Notamacropus eugenii: one gene and its partner. The protein of the gene in region 2 interacts with the protein of the main gene of each other region in a biochemical or structural test. Links are inferred from orthologs where the notes say so. Each region holds a gene or a part of one and is shown on either strand. Other genes may lie near its edges.

What was found.
Region 1: the proteins of NPR3 (region 2) and NPPB form a complex in vitro, tested with the Homo sapiens proteins (4 studies listed by BioGRID, with this or other methods). The link is inferred for Notamacropus eugenii from reciprocal best matches to the Homo sapiens genes NPR3 and NPPB.

Annotation. Positions count from the first base shown.
Region 1 is NC_092876.1:51,288,097-51,295,946, forward strand, and holds NPPB (natriuretic peptides B), read right to left. Parts: upstream 3,013-7,850; 5' UTR 2,901-3,012; coding exon 2,781-2,900; intron 2,382-2,780; coding exon 2,111-2,381; intron 534-2,110; coding exon 517-533; 3' UTR 336-516; downstream 1-335.
Region 2 is NC_092875.1:427,906,100-427,913,710, reverse strand, and holds the start of NPR3 (atrial natriuretic peptide receptor 3), read right to left. Parts: upstream 3,081-7,611; 5' UTR 2,608-3,080; coding exon 1,869-2,607; intron 1,117-1,868; exon of another isoform or gene 1,046-1,116; coding exon of another isoform or gene 1,027-1,045; intron 948-1,026; exon of another isoform or gene 872-947; coding exon of another isoform or gene 736-871; intron 683-735; exon of another isoform or gene 472-682; coding exon of another isoform or gene 411-471; intron 1-410. UniProt on the Homo sapiens protein: Receptor for the natriuretic peptide hormones, binding with similar affinities atrial natriuretic peptide NPPA/ANP, brain natriuretic peptide NPPB/BNP, and C-type natriuretic peptide NPPC/CNP.

The DNA of each region.
Region 1 (7,850 bases), on a different chromosome or scaffold from region 2:
AGGGCATTTAGAAGTCTCCTATAATATGGACTCCCCAAAATCTTCCAACACTTGGATGTTTGCATCCTCACATTGCCACTACAGTCATTCAGATGCTTTGTATTTATCTGTATATAGGTTTTTCCCCCAGTGGAAAGTGAGCACCTGGAGGAACAGATCTTTCACTTTTGTCTTTGTAACCCCAAGACCTAACATCTAATGGGCATTTAATAAACACTTAATGAACTAAACTGAAGTTCCTTGTCCCATCCAAGTCAGCATCTTTCATAAAATACAGGCACATAGAGGGAAGTAGGTGGATTTTTTTTAATGTTCCAAGAATAATGGCTCCAAAATTTTAAAAAATCAGGCTGATTTTATTTAACCATGAATTTTCCATGCTCAAAAGTAAGAAACCAGCTTATACAAAACAACCAAATAAATAAATAAATAAATGCAAATAAATAGGAGTCATTTTGAGGGGGTGGAAAAGCCTCAGTGAGAATTAGATGTTAGGGAGTAGGTGGCTGGGACTTCTTAGTTCCTTCTTGACACTGTTGGAGGAGAAAAGAGAAAAATAAGGTTATTCCTGGGGAGGCTCAGAGCTGAAGTAGAATCTCGATTTTTCTTTTTTTTTCTCTCTGGGTTTTGTTTGACTTTATCACCTCATAGGATCATCAATTCTCAGAGTAGGAAGAGACCTCATTGACCAGGTAATTCAAAAAGAGCAAAAACCATTTCCCCACAAAGGGTTATCAAGCTTTTCCTTAAAGACCTCTGGTAAAGGAGAACTCATTATTTCCAAAGGACAGCTCTGATAATTAGCAAGTTTTTCCTGGCATTAAAGTGAAATTTGCCTCTCTCTCCCCTTCTTTACTTCTTTTCCTGTCCTAGCCTCTAAACTACACTGACTCCTGAAACTTATTCTAGTCCTTTAATCTCTCTGAGCCTGTTTCCTCAATTGCAGAATGGGAAAAACAATCCAACTGAACGATTTCATCTCCTGCCTTTGCAACTATGAGAAGCTTGGGGGCATTACTAGGAAGCAGAAAATGAATGAACCCTTATTCCCCACAGGGGCTGCCATTACAGAATAACACTCAATCATTTAGCATCTGGGACACTTGGAGCTTGGATGGTTGAATCATGGAAATAATGGAATATTGCAGCCTTTTTAACCCCAAGGGCTGTTAGTAGAGCTGAACTATGCCCTTGCCAATGGAAGACCTCAGATACAAACAAGGAGAAGACTCAAGGGGGATCATGGGATGTTTCATTGACCAAATTGTGGAATCATGGATCCAAAGATGTAAGGGGCCTCAGAGGCCATTGAGTCTAACCCTCTCATTTTTCAGATGAGGAAACTGAGGCACAGAAAAATTAAGTGATTTTCCCCAAAAGCCACAAATGGAAGGTATCTGGAATTGAACTCATGTCCCCAGACTGCATATCTAGGGATCTTTCTGCTAGTCCATAAAAAAGGCAAAGATAAAAGAAAATAACCACATGATAAGGGAGCATTGCTGTGTCAACAGCAACTCCCATGCTACCGACAGGGAGCTTTTCTAAATTTGGACAGGAAAGACCTAGGACTAGAATGTGGGTCTCTTGGGGGCAGAGGAGTCCTCTTTCAAAGGGTTCTATGTCCTTAGTATGTCTTCCTATTCAGCTTGTGCCCTCCAAGTGGGGGAAACTTGCCAGTCGATCAATCATAAGAAAAGAAGAAAAAATTAAAAGCCAGCCAAATGAGCAAGTGGCTGCAGGAGTATATCTGTGGGATTCTTCCTCCCCTCTCCATGTAGCTTCTTTGGCATCTTTGTGCAAGCCTCTGCTGTTCCCCAGGGAACCGCGCAGTCCCCCTGAGCTCACTCTGTTTCTCTTTTGTTCCAGCCTTGGGGGCGGGAGACAAGCTAAGTGTCTCTGAATGGCATTTTGTAACCTTGGTTCCTTTACTGGATTCCTCTATCCCCAATTCTGTTCTCTGGTCACTAAATCTGGAGATGAGATGGAGTCTAAGTGATAGAGTGACTACTTGAGAAGAAGGTCTTCTATGACTGTATGGGGGTGGGGAGGGGGCACCTGGGGATATTAAGCCAGAAAAGAGACAGGGCAGGGGAAAAGGAGTGTTTACCATTGCACCCCAGGCTGCTGAGAGAGCCAATTCTGTCCAGCCTCCTGCCAAAGCAGCCTGATTCTCGCATTAGTTTCGGGCTTTGCAGACCACGCAGAGCCTGGAAGGTGGAGACCCTATGGACACGGCTGCCTTCTGGCACCAGTGGGTGTTCGGGCTTTCTGTTCTCCCAGCCTTCCCCCGGGGTCTCTTCTTGCTCCCTCGGCTCAGGCTCCGCCATCTCCAACTCCTCCAAAGCTGAGATCTTGTCCCTTAGTCGGTACAGCAGTTCCTGGAAGGATGGTGGAAGTAAAGGAGACAGATTAGCAAGAATTGTGAGCCCCCTTGCAGATCAGCTCTTCTAGTCCCCTCCCCAAGCTCCCGCCGGCGCCCAGTGCATCGCCAACAAGACCTTAAGAATCTAGGGTTACTCGAACTTCTCAGGGGCCATTCTGCTACCTTTGGGTATCTTCTAGGCTTTGCCAGTCTGATGATTCTTTCGGAAATCCCTTAGTAAGGAGGGAGAATAGAGATACACATCCAGAGGTTCCCCTTGGTGCTCCCAATCCCAGACCCCTACCTATCACTTCCCAGTGGTTCTGAAGAACTCTCGGAGCAAGGGCGTGGGAGTAGGAGGCAGATTTGGGTTTCCCTTTTGCCAGCTGACCCGTAGACTATGTGCTGTGCTCACCTGGACCCCGGTCAGCTCCCGAGCCTGGCGAGGTCGGTCTAAGGGATGGGAAAAGTTGCCCTGGAGCTGCAGAAGGAGCAGGAGCAGAAAGATGCTGGGCAGCGCTTTCTGGGAGTCCATGTTTTGGAAGGAGGGGACTGGAGGGCGAAGGAGAAACCTCGGGCTGCTGCTGCCGCAGACAATGCTACTTCTTTCCTCTCTCTGCCCTTCTGGCTTTCTCTATCTGGCTACTCGCTGGGTCAGTCGCTATTTATTCCCAGTGGCTGGAAGCCGAGCCCTGCCTTGCCTTGCCCCTGCCCTTCCTGGTCCCGGGGTTATCTCTGACTTATCAGCCACATTCCGACCTCGCTGAGCTCAAAGCCGGAGAATGCGCCCCCGCGGTCTCACACAGTCTCTGTACTGCCCCCCTCTTCCTTGATCCCCCGCCTTTTCTTTCTAACTCGGGTCTCAGCTGAATGTAAGGGGTGGGAGTGAGGGACTGGTGAAAGAGGGATGGCCTTGTATAGAAACGAGCTAGAGAAACACTCCCTTTTCTGTTCTCTTCCACCTAAATTTCCCAAGGGCAAGGAAGCCCTGGGGACACCCCATCCCAACACTCACTGGCACAACTGACAGTGAAGACTCCTCTCTTGGATGGGGAAGGAGAAGAGAATACAGCTATGGGACTAAGAAGTGGGTACGCAATTCTCCTGCTCAGCACACCCCTCGCCTCCCACTGACCCCAAGCCTCCTAGGAGTTTCCTCTTTCAAGGGTCCTACAAGAGTTAATTGAGAGGAATCTAACTGGAGATGGGATGAAGGAAGATATCTGGGAGCAAACACCCTTCGGGGAGGGAGGGAAAAGTGACAAAGGAGAGGCTGACCAAGAACAGGCCAAGTTCTTCACATCATCTTCTTTTCCAGTCACCTCCTCCCTCCATGCACACCTTGCAGGATGAAGTCAGCTTCCCGCTTCAAGGAAAGGGGTGGGGTGGCCGCTCTGGTCAGGAATTCAGTATCCCCACCCCTCCCCCATACTGATTTTTCTCTCAAATCCCTCTGGTAGGTCCTGCGGTCATCTAGTCACTATGGCCCTCTGGAATTGGGCATTTTTTGCCGCTGTCCATGGTGCCGGCGGTCCATCACATAACCCTCCTTGAACTGTGTCACATTTCGGAGCCTAGTTAAGTAGCAAACAAATCCAAGTACCAGGCAGCCCCAGAAGACAGGAAGATGGTCAAGCGCCAGATCATTTCTCCTCCCCCTCCCCACAGGTACAGATGTGAGTTTTCCAGAATTTGCATTCTGATTTTATATCACTCCTATAGATAGTCTTCGGCTTGTTGCGCCATCCCTTAAGCAATATAATTTATTACTATGAAATTTTGAAAAACAAAAATGAGGGATAAAATTACTCTCATACTTTCTACGTATGGTGGAGTGCAAAGAGTGCTGGATTTGGAATTATTGCTGAGGACTTCCTTTCCCTAATCCCTTTTCCCAGTCCTCCTTAACCTTAGTGTCTTCCCTCTGAAATTATCTTCAGTTTACCCAGTACATATCTAGTTTTTACATAATTGTTTGCAATTGTCTTCCCTTTTAGACTGTGAACTCCTTGAGATCAAAGGCTGTCTCTTGCCTTTCTCTGTATCCCCGTTCTTAGCATCGTGCCTGGCTTATAGCAGGTGTTTAATAAATGCTTCTTGATTTATCAGTTGCCAGACTCCCTTTTTAAAAAGCAGTTTTTCTCAATCCACTTCCATCTCTCACCAATTGAACGAAAAGACAAAAAACCCATCATCACAAATATGCAAAAACAAAGCTAATTCCCCCTAAAATTGCCATGTTCCCTCAATTCTACCTCTGAAATATCTCTCCTATCTGTACTACCATTCCACTCAAATCCTTGTTCAGACCCTTTTCTCCTCTTTGGTAATCTCAAAGATTTAGAATTACAAAGGACTCCAGAGGTCCAACCCCCTCACTTGACTTCCTTGGGAGGACAACAATGATTTAGTTTTTAAAAACATTTTGTTGGTAACTTCTGTTTTTATATCCCTTATTGAGGGTCTTCCCCTCACAAATCTTTTTCTTTTTTTAAGAGGCTGTTCTTTGCTTCATTTCTTATTAAAATTTAATCACTGAATGGGCATTGGATCAATCAAACTGAGACCTGGAAATGGCTTGAAAAAGTCGAGGTCCCCCTTTGCATCCTGGGTCATCTCTAATTGTTCTGATCCCTATCTGGCCACTGGACCCAGATGGCTCCGGAGAAAAAAGTGAAGCTGGCGACTTCACACAGACCTCCCTCATTTAACTCCAATTCACGTGCATGGCAAGGCATTACCTCCCTAATGTCATGGTCCTTTTCAAGAATGAAGGAAAAACAGCAGAAGCTTACCATTGATTTCCTAACTGTTAAATCCAATGCTCTTTTCACAATCCTCATTCTAATTGACATCTTCACAGTTTTTGCCACTGTCAACAATATCCTTCTCCTAGAAACTCTATATTCCCTTGGCTTCTATGACAGTATTCTGCCCTGATCCTTCTGACCACTCCATCTTAGTCGGCTTTGTAGGATTATTATCCATCTTCTACCAGTTAAGCAAGAGTGCCCTCCAAAGATCTCTAGTGGCTTCTTATTTTACCTAGGATAAAGTATTAACTCTTAATATTGGAATGGAAAGCTCTCCAAAATCTGGCTCCCATATAAATTTAAAGATTTATTTCATATCATTAATCTTCATGTATTTTACTTACATATAGGACAATACTGTCCTACTAGCTGTTCCTTGAACTCAGTATGCCATCTCCCATTTCCATGCATTTGCACAACCTGTCCCCCATGCCTGGGATTTCCTCATCCCTCACCTCTACTTCTGAGAATCTTAAGCTTCTATCAAAACTCAGCCCATGTGCTCTTGTTCTTCCTTTATCTCAAAGAGCACCAATGACATCACACAGCGATGTTTTGACTCCCCACTCACTCTCTCTTTCAGAGTCATCATAGTCCAATGGAAAGACAAAAGTCTGGATGATTGCCAATGACCTGGGATGCAGTATATGACACTCTGTGTCTGACCAAGCTCTAAGCACTCCACAGCTCCTGCTTCAGCTGCTTTCATGGTCATTGGAACAAGTTGTTCTCATTCACCCATTCCACTGGGAGGAAGTCTTCTCATGTTTAGGGTAGACATCCCCTTAACTCACCATTAGATATGAGTCCTGTTGGTTCCGCTTAACCTGATATAGCCTGTCTGCCAAAATGGTTTATGGGGAGTGGCTGCTGAGCATGCTCCAGTTTCTTAGAGCCACAGGTGAAATATGAATGAGTTCAGGTGCTATACCCTTTATAAAGTCTTTTCTGACTATCCCTTGAATTATTAGCATTTTCTCTTCTAAAATTACTTTGTAGGAAAAGGACTATAGTCAGTAAGTACAAAAATTTTTATAGCAGCTCTTTTTGTGGTGTCAAAACATTGGAAACTGAGGGGATGCCCATCAATTAGGGAATGGCTAAACAAGTTATGGTATATGATTGTGATAGAATACTATGTGCTATAAAAAGTGATGGTTTCAGAAAAGCCTGGGAAGACTTATATGAACTAATGCACAGAAAAGTGAACAGAATTGGGAGGACATTGTACATAGTAATAGCAATATGGTAACTGTGAAAGATTTAACTACTCTGATCTAACGATATAATAATCAAGATGATTCTGAAGGACTTGTGATGAAAAATGCTATCCACCTCCAAAGAGAGAACTGATGAAACCTGAGTATAGACTGAAGCATATTTTTTTCACTTTATTTTTCTTGCAACATGGCTAATATAGAAATGTATTTTCATGATTTCACATGTATAATTGACATCACGTTGCTCTTCTCAATGGGTGGGGAAGGGATGAGAGGGAGGATGAGAATTTGGAATTCAAAATTTTTAAATGATTAAAATTTAATTCTAAAAAAATTAAATTACTTTGTACTAATTAATCTGCATAAATTGTATCCCTTTTCCATTCCCCAACAGAATATAAGCTTCTGAAGAGCAGGGACTTTCCACCCCACCCCTCCCCCTTTGTATCTCCAGCTCCCAGCACCAAATCTTCTGAATCACACATAGTCCAACAATCTTTCCCTTTCACTTGAGTTATTGATGGATTTTGTCCTGTTTTCAATCCTCTTGCTAAAAAATTTCTTAGTATTTTATGAGTCTTTCAGGGTCGCTGATCTTCCACTGGTCCATCTTATTCTAAACAGAGTGGGGAGGCTGTTTTTAGAGTAAGTCAGAGATCAGGAGAGGCTTAAGATGCAGGCTGCATGATCCAGTCTTGTAACCATTTGGCATACTTCTTTCCTTGCTGATGGGAAACTGATGGAGAGGGATGGAGGGAAGGAGGAAAGAAGGAAGGAGAGGAGGGAGGAAGGAAAGAGAAAAGGAGAGAGAGAGGAAAAAAGAGAGGGAGGGAAGAAGAGATGAAGCCTGCTAACCTTTGCTATATCAGTCAGCAAAAGCAGCCTAAAATTAATTAGTGGAATACAAAGGGCCATTTCCTTTGTTCACTCATTCACTCACTCAGTCAGTCAATTATCTGACAAACACCAATATTACCTTAACCACTACTTCCCCTCAAAATTTTGAAATTTTTAAAAATTTTTATTTTTAAATTATAGAATAAAACAGGAGATTATACAAGAAACTGCAAATCTACTATGTGCAACTTGCTATTTCTTTCAAATATAGAACCAAATTAAAATATACAACCAAATTATCCTGTAAATGATTTTCTTTTTTTTCCTTCCCTCCCCTCACCCTAGAGATGGCTACTATTAGATGCAAATAGGTATGTATATGTAAAGTTATTCTATACATCCTTTATTTATCAGTTCTTTCTCTGCATGCAGATAGTGTCTTTATAGTTGATTTGGGCATTTGCAATAGACAAAATAACTTATTCTTTCAAAGTTGTTCTTAAAACTGTGATGCTATTACTATCCTTCTCTTGGTTCAGTTCATTTTGCTCTTCTTTATTTCATGCAAGTCTTTCCATGTTTTTCAAAAATCAACTAGCTCATCATTTCTTACAG
Region 2 (7,611 bases):
CCTGTTGGTTTCATATTTATTCCCGCAGCCTTCTACTGCCCGTCCTGACGTCGGGGCTACAAGTCTCTTTGGGAGAGATCTGCCAGGTCCGGGTGGGGAAGAAAGGGGGAGGGGTTTATTTTCACGTCCTGGGTGTGGTCGGTAGGAAATGTGTGGCAAGCAGTTCGATCAGAATGCCTCTTCCATACACCACAGGGCAAGAAAAATGCCGACGAATCTGGATAGCCTGAGGTTTGTGCAGACCGAGAGAGGGCCGGCTCAAGGTCCTGGCTAAATGGGCTGGGCGCCATCCATGGTGGTGTGTGTGTGTATGTGATATGTAAATATATGTATGTATTGTACATATACATGTCTGTATTTCAATGGTATACCTTAAAGGCTTAAGCGTTCATTTAGCCCCATGTACCTACCTAGGCAGGCCCTGGGCAGATGTACATGGAAAAAGCTTGATTCGGGCCACGTATTTCGCATTCCAGAACCTCCCCTTCTTCCATCTAGACTACGAGGTCCACCTGCCCAGCGCCCTATATTAAGCTATCAACTGCACGGCTCACACTGCCACCTCTGCCTCTTGCAGTCCTCCCACCTGTTCGGGATTCTGGTGACAAAGTGCGGAGGCTGGGCCAGAAACTGCTCCAGGCCACGCGCCCGTGCTTCTCAGTCCAAGCTCCGCAAGCCAAGCGCTCAGGTGTGCGGAACCACACCCGCGGTAAATGTATTTGCCAGCTTACGCACCTTTAGAGGGCCCGAGTCTCACGTGTCTCGTTCCCAGGGCTGAGAGTGCCAAGATTTCACCACCTACATTCCAGGCGCAATGGCATAAGGGGAAGGCGGAGAGGTGGCTCTGTGTTCTAGAATTAGCTGACGACATCCCCTTGGCGCATTGTGCCCTTATCCGGATATGGTTAGGCACCCTGCCTGATTTCTCCGGGAAATCTCACTTTCTCCCCTGAAATTCGTGGTCAAGAAGTTGAAACCCCTTCTTTTCTCCCTCGCACCTACCAACTCACGTAACTCATTTCTCACCTCTTGCCAATTTCGGCATTTGTTTATTAAGAAGCAAATTATTATTACAGTCGGAACCATGTGTACCTCCGAGTGATTCTCCAGCAAGTATGGGACCTGAAGATGCCCCTATTTGGAATCTTCGGGGATGGAAACACTCAGGAATCTAAAGGGGATGTTGATTGTTGCCAGGACGCAACGACGCATTTTGAGTGGAAACCCAGGAAACGTATTTGTTAAGAAGGGTGGAGTGGGCGAAGGGAGGAAGACCCAGGAGATGGATGAGGAAAAATCAATACAATCGAGCTTTTTAAAGGAAATAGAATAGTAGCTGGAAGAAGGGAAATGGGACAACTTGACAAGCATACTAGGGGGGAGGAAGGGGGTAAGCACTTAAAACGGGGCATTAGGAAAGCTAACCAACACTGCACAAACTTTAAGGGAGAGGAAGGGAAAGGGAAAGCCAAGATAAGTCCTCAGGACAGGAAAACCCTCCGGTCTTTGCGCTTCTCCCCTCCCCTCCCCAGACCTAGGGAAGGAAAGAGAATAGATTTCCTTCCTATCTCCCCACCTACACCCCTCTATGCCCTTACACATTTCCTCGTCCTCTACCAAGGAGGTGGAGAGGGCTTATACATGGGCCAGTGGAAAAAGCTCATCCCAAAGCTAGAATGATTAGACTTCTGCAGTTACATTTTGCATATCTCCATCCCTTTCACCCCTTTCCGCATTCCCAGCGCCAGGGAAAGTGGGGAAAAGTTGGGGTGCCCTTACAATGTTCAAGGAGTAGAATAGAGAGGGTTGGGATGCGGGATGGGAGAGGGCTAAAAGGTACACTAGATGGGGACGTTCCTCTAGCTCACCCCTCTCGCTGGCCTGGATGTAGCGCACGATTTCTTCAGCGTCTAGGGTTTTGGTCTCGTCGAAGCTGTAGGCGGATGTGTGCAAACCCTCCTCCTGGAAGACCTCATGGACCCCCTCCAGGGTGAAGTAACAGTTCCGCTCCAGCTTGTCATCACTGTAGATCAGGGCAGCTCGGCTCCACTGCTGATGCCGGAACAAGGCGAGCATCATCTCTCCCATCTTGGCGTAGGCGGGTGCCACACGGGTAAGGTGCGAGAACTCGCTCTCCTTGTGCTTGAAGCCAGCCGCGAGAGCTCCGGCAGACAGCATGGGCAGGTCCCAGTGCGACGCCAGCCGGGCCACAGGTGCTGCAGCATATTCGCAGACCGGGCCCAGGATCAAGTCCGGTTTAGACCCCCGGGCCACTGCCACTCGATCAACTAAACTGAAGAGTGCCTGGTTGCCGCAGTGCGAATCCTGATAGTCCACCTGGAAGCTGTAGCCCTGTGGAAGCAGCTGTCTCCTAGTCCCATTTTCCTCCACGCTACGCAGCGCGTACTCGATGGCCGGCTTGACCCTGGCCAAGGAGAACATGTAAGCGTTGTCCTTGGGTAGAAGCACCAGAACCTCGATCTTCTGCGTCTCTTCCACCACAGGGAGCCCGCCGCCTCGGTTTCCGCTGCTGCTGCCGCCGCTTGCCAGGAGCGCCCAGCTTAGCACAGCGCAAGAAGAGAAACTGAGTAACAAAAAGGATGGCATTGCGCTGAAGAGCAATCTCTGTCACTCACCTTAGCCCGTCTTCTTCCCACCACCTTCCTCCTTCTCCCCCTCCCTTTCCTCTACCTCCTTAGTCCCTGCGCCCCCTTGGGTGCCCTAAGAAAACAGAATTCCCCTTCTACCGTCAAGTGACGGGAAAAAGGGCCCTTCTCTAAAATGTTACCAGTTTTTTTTAAGTTTACACCTATGACCCTATAGTATGTTATATAGATATTTCTCTTTCCTCCTATATACTATTTTGCCTAGAGGTGACTTCTTTTTTTTGGACGTTGTTGAGATTGATTTTGAAAGAATGGCTTGCAAAAAAAAAAAAAAATTAAACTTGTCCAAGTGATTGTAATTGACGGAGCATCTGCCTCCCGTTTGATCTCATTGATTCTCCCTTGCTCCTTGATACATATCCTCTGTTTAAATAGTGTGGTAGCGGACGAGCCTGTTACCACACATGGAGCTGCGAGAACGGGTTTGTATTTCGAGCGGGTAGGGTGGGGGGTTGACGGGGGGTTGGAGGGGAGCCTCTCATTAGCATTCTTACATCAGGACTCCTCCCCACACCCCTTCCCTCCCTCCTTCCCAACCTCAATCCACCCACCACCCCGACCTTTTTCTTAAAGTTGCAGCACACGTAACACACTCATCTCCCCTCAGTTCATATCCACAGTGCACACGCGCCTTTTCTGTTCTCCAACTCGCTCCAAAACACAGCAGCTCAATTCAGGCGCCACCGCTTCAGCTCAAAAGCTACTGACTAAAGATCCTTATACAATTAATTTGCAAATAAATACACAAGCGCCAAGCAAAAGTAACAACTAATCAAGATCTCGTCTGACTTTTACTGGCAAGGAAACTTCGGGGGTCTCCCCGTTAGAGCGCGCGCGTTCTCCTCTTTCCCCTCTCTCCTTCCCTCTCTTTCAGGCAATGCAACTGAAGGGGGAGGAGGGGGTCCCTAAGTCCGGAGGAGGAGTTATGTCGCCCACTGTCTATCTGTCTCTACTATCCAGAGCTCTATTGAGGCTGAGAGGTCTTTGGCATTTGAGTTGGGGAGCCCAAAGAAAAAAGTTTGCTTTCACAGCTCTTAAGTGACCTAGGCGAATCCAGTATCCCGGCGTCCTCTACATACCTGGGACACAAGCTAGCCAAGCCCAATTTCTGGAGGTCGGCCCGCATCCTATGCTCTCCCGGCAGAAACTGCCTTAAGCCTTTTCCCCACTTACCCGTTTTTTCCACCTATGCAGATTCTGCCTTTCCTCTGGTTCCGGAGTGCGCGGGCGCTTCTCTTTGCATATATTCTTCCCAGGAGTGAAGACCAAGTGAAACCAAGGAGCGCTTTCCCAAAGAAGAGCGCGTGGGGTGGGGGGGAGGGGAAGCGAAACTTTTTGCTTGCAGAGGGTGACTTCCAGCCCGTGATTCCGCTTCTCCATAGGCAGTTGGAATATGGCAAATGTTTGCAAACCGCCCAAAAAACGTCCGCAGGACTTTATGGGCACATAAAGGGGATCTTTCATTCCCCCACCTTTGCAAAAGAGGATGCAGCTCTGAAGAAAGAAAGATAACAGGTCCGAAGTCCTGATCTCTTGCAAGTCAAAAGGCAGGAATGGAAAGGATTTCATACAAGGCAGTGGCCTGACTATCAAGTCAGGAAATCCATGCTTTCCATGCGTATTCAAATAGAATTCAGCATTCTTATCCTTGGTATATGTACACGTAAAACATTATTTGTTTGGGTCACGTACTTCACTACCTCTACGAGATTAAAAAAATTTAATTCCACAAATTAGAAAAATACTAACCATCAGAATTTCGTTTGAATACTTTCACTTAACTTTAAAGAAACTTAAAGCTTTCCCCCTATTAATCCCAGGAAAACGCCCTCTTTCGGCAGAAAAATTAATATGGCTGGTAACCTTTGCACCACTGCTCCAGGCTCTGCATTTTTGTCTCCCAGACTAGAATTCTTGTTTCTATTTGTATTTATAATTAAGTGCTTCCTGATAACTTTGTTTTCCTCTGGCTGAACTAATTAATACAACTCTTCGTTATGCTAATTGAAAGAATAGAAAGTATGCTTAACTGAAGTTAATTGCAATCTAATCTCAGAATCTAACTTTAAGTAATAAACTGTCTCCTACTCCTTTGAAATCTCTTATTTAAAAAAAACTACTTCAGGGAAGGAAGGGAAGGATAAAATTAGAAACTCAAAACTTTTTTTTTTAAAAATCAATGTCAAAAAGTTATTTTAACATGTAATTAGTGGAAAATAAAGTATGTTAAAATTTAAAACTACTTAAAAGTCACTCTAAAATATTTTAATTTCACCTAATATTTAATAGCAAGAGAGGCTGCCTGGAATAGTGACTGAAGAGCTGGCTCTAAAGTCTAGAACATATGGGTTTAAGCCTTGCCCCTGACTCTTTGTAGCCCAGTAAATCAATGTATAGCTTTGAACCCCAGAATCAGAATCTGATTGTAGAGGTGTCAATTAGTAAAGGTAGAAAGAGTTTCTGTAATGGGAGTTCACTATACAACGGAATGAACACTCCTCCTCTTTATGCCCCTTATCCCAAGCAAAGGACCAGGACAAGATCCACAACCGAATAATTGCAAATGCACTTTATTAGACAATTTTAGACATAGGGTTTTTGAAGGAAATCAACAACTAAGTTCCAGACTGAATGAATTTCTCATTTTAAGCTGAAGATCCTAAAGAATATGAAATATCCTATTCTTCATATTATGGCTTCCTAGGATGAGCACAGTCAAAGGCAAAGTAATTCTCCAGTTTGTTGTTTAAGTCTTAAAGAGAGAGGCCCAGGGTTTAAATGGCATGAGTGAATTGCCTCTCACTTTACAGATAGATGGTCTTCTCAACTTAGCCTGGAGGTCATTGTCAGGGCAGTGCATTTAAGTTCAGCTTAATACCAGAGCTTTCAGTTTGGAGGTTTTGAATGGGAATGCCTCATTTTGAGTGTATAACCCATCTGTAAACTTTTAAAGGAATCTAAAAGATAAAAGAAATTAAGGAGAAATTTTGCATACTGTACTTCAATAAACTAAATAATTAAACGAGTAGTTTATATTATTCAATTTCCTCCTTTTCAAAACATCCCTCAGAAAATGTTGAAGAGAAATTGGGATTTATCAACAGTATTAGACAAACGGAAATTGGCATAAAATCAGGTAAAGGACTAATTATAAATATCAGTGGTAAAGTATGTACATTTTAGTGTTGTTGAATTATTTACTTCATATCAAATTACTGTTTGAAAACCAGTAAGAAGTTTACATAAGTATCAGTGTATAAATATGACTTGTCATTATGCACACACACACACACACACACACACACACATTAAGTCATGTCTTAAACTTGGAATGGGTCTTAGAAATCATCTAATCCCATCCCCTGATATAACATCAGGGAACAGCCCCAAATCTCTGTGTAATGAGAAAATTCTAATTTCCATATTCATTTTCATATTCTGAGAATTATTTGATTATTTACTAGTCCAAACCTGTGATTTGATCGGTGAGCTATTTTGAGTGCAGAAACTCCCTCCACCTATTCTGATCAATAATATGTCTCTCTTTTATAGTGACAGAGTTGGATTAGGAGACTACTTCCAGCAGACATTGAGTGGTTAAGTGACTTGTCTGTATTCTCACACCTGCATGTTTTAAACAGGCACCACCACCTAGCTGGATTTAGGGAAGGCCTTGGAGTTGAGAAGATCTGGATTCAAGTCCTGTCTTGGACACACACTGACCATTTGACCATGGACAAAATTTAGAATTATTTGTTGATAGGTGGTATATGAGCCAAATTACAATATGTAAACCAAATTCCAACATGTAAAAGAATAGACAATCTTTTGTATATAGTGGAGTTCTCTTGTAATGATGCTTTCAAGGAGAGGTGCTTCCCGCTTTATTTAAAAAAAGCAATAATAACCATAATACGTAGAATGTTTAGATGGCACAGTGGATAGAGTTTGGAGTTCGAGTGCTGCCTCAAATGATTACTAGCTTGTGACTTTGGGCAAATTGCTTAACCTCCCTCCATCTGTTTCCTCCTCTATAAGATGAGAATAATAATAGCATTTATCTATCAAGGTTGTTATGAGGCTCAAGTAAGATTTTATATGAAATCACTCTGCAAATGTTAAAGAGCCATATAAATGTAGGCTATTGTGGTGTGATAGGATGCTGTACTATGTTTATTACATGAATGACAAATATTATTTACAAAATAGAAGTATTACATCCCTGAAGGATCCAATTTTAAAATTATGCTTCTCTGAAATTGTTTGAAACATTGAAAGGAGAAAGCACATTTTTTCTCTCCTGTCAGAAAAGCATATGAAACTACAGAATAGATGTTGAGAACATGCTCCAAAGCAGAATAAAATTAATTGGGGGTGGGGGGACTATTTGAATACTTTATGCAGCCTCCATATTTAATTTGTGACACAAATGAATAGTAATGTCATAACATTTAGAAATCATTTAATTAATTGTGTATAACATTTTAAATCACGAAACCAGAAGACAAGGGTAACAACTTTTCTAAAGAGTATTTGTTTATCATTTGTTTAAGGACCTATGAAAACAAAACACTATCTACTATGGCAATACTACATCCTTCCTGTAATAATTAAAACATTTGGAGCTAGTATTCTATAGAGATTATCAAGGATAGCATTTTTAAGGCTATTAGAAACAGATTGGTTGTCTCCACCAATTGTTACTCTCTCTACAGTAACCCATCATTGGAATCACAGTTGTAATTGTTAAATCTTGCAGCCAGCTTCAATTCTTAAGGAAGGCCTCCACCCTTCATTTAACCAGCTCCAAGTAATACTGAAGAACATCCTTATGAAGCCTGCTGCTCATTCACAGAATGCCTCCTGGGGAAAGGATTGCTGAAAACACAGTTCCCCCTAGAGGCTGAAAAGATGAAAGAACATAACACATAATTCAAGAACATGT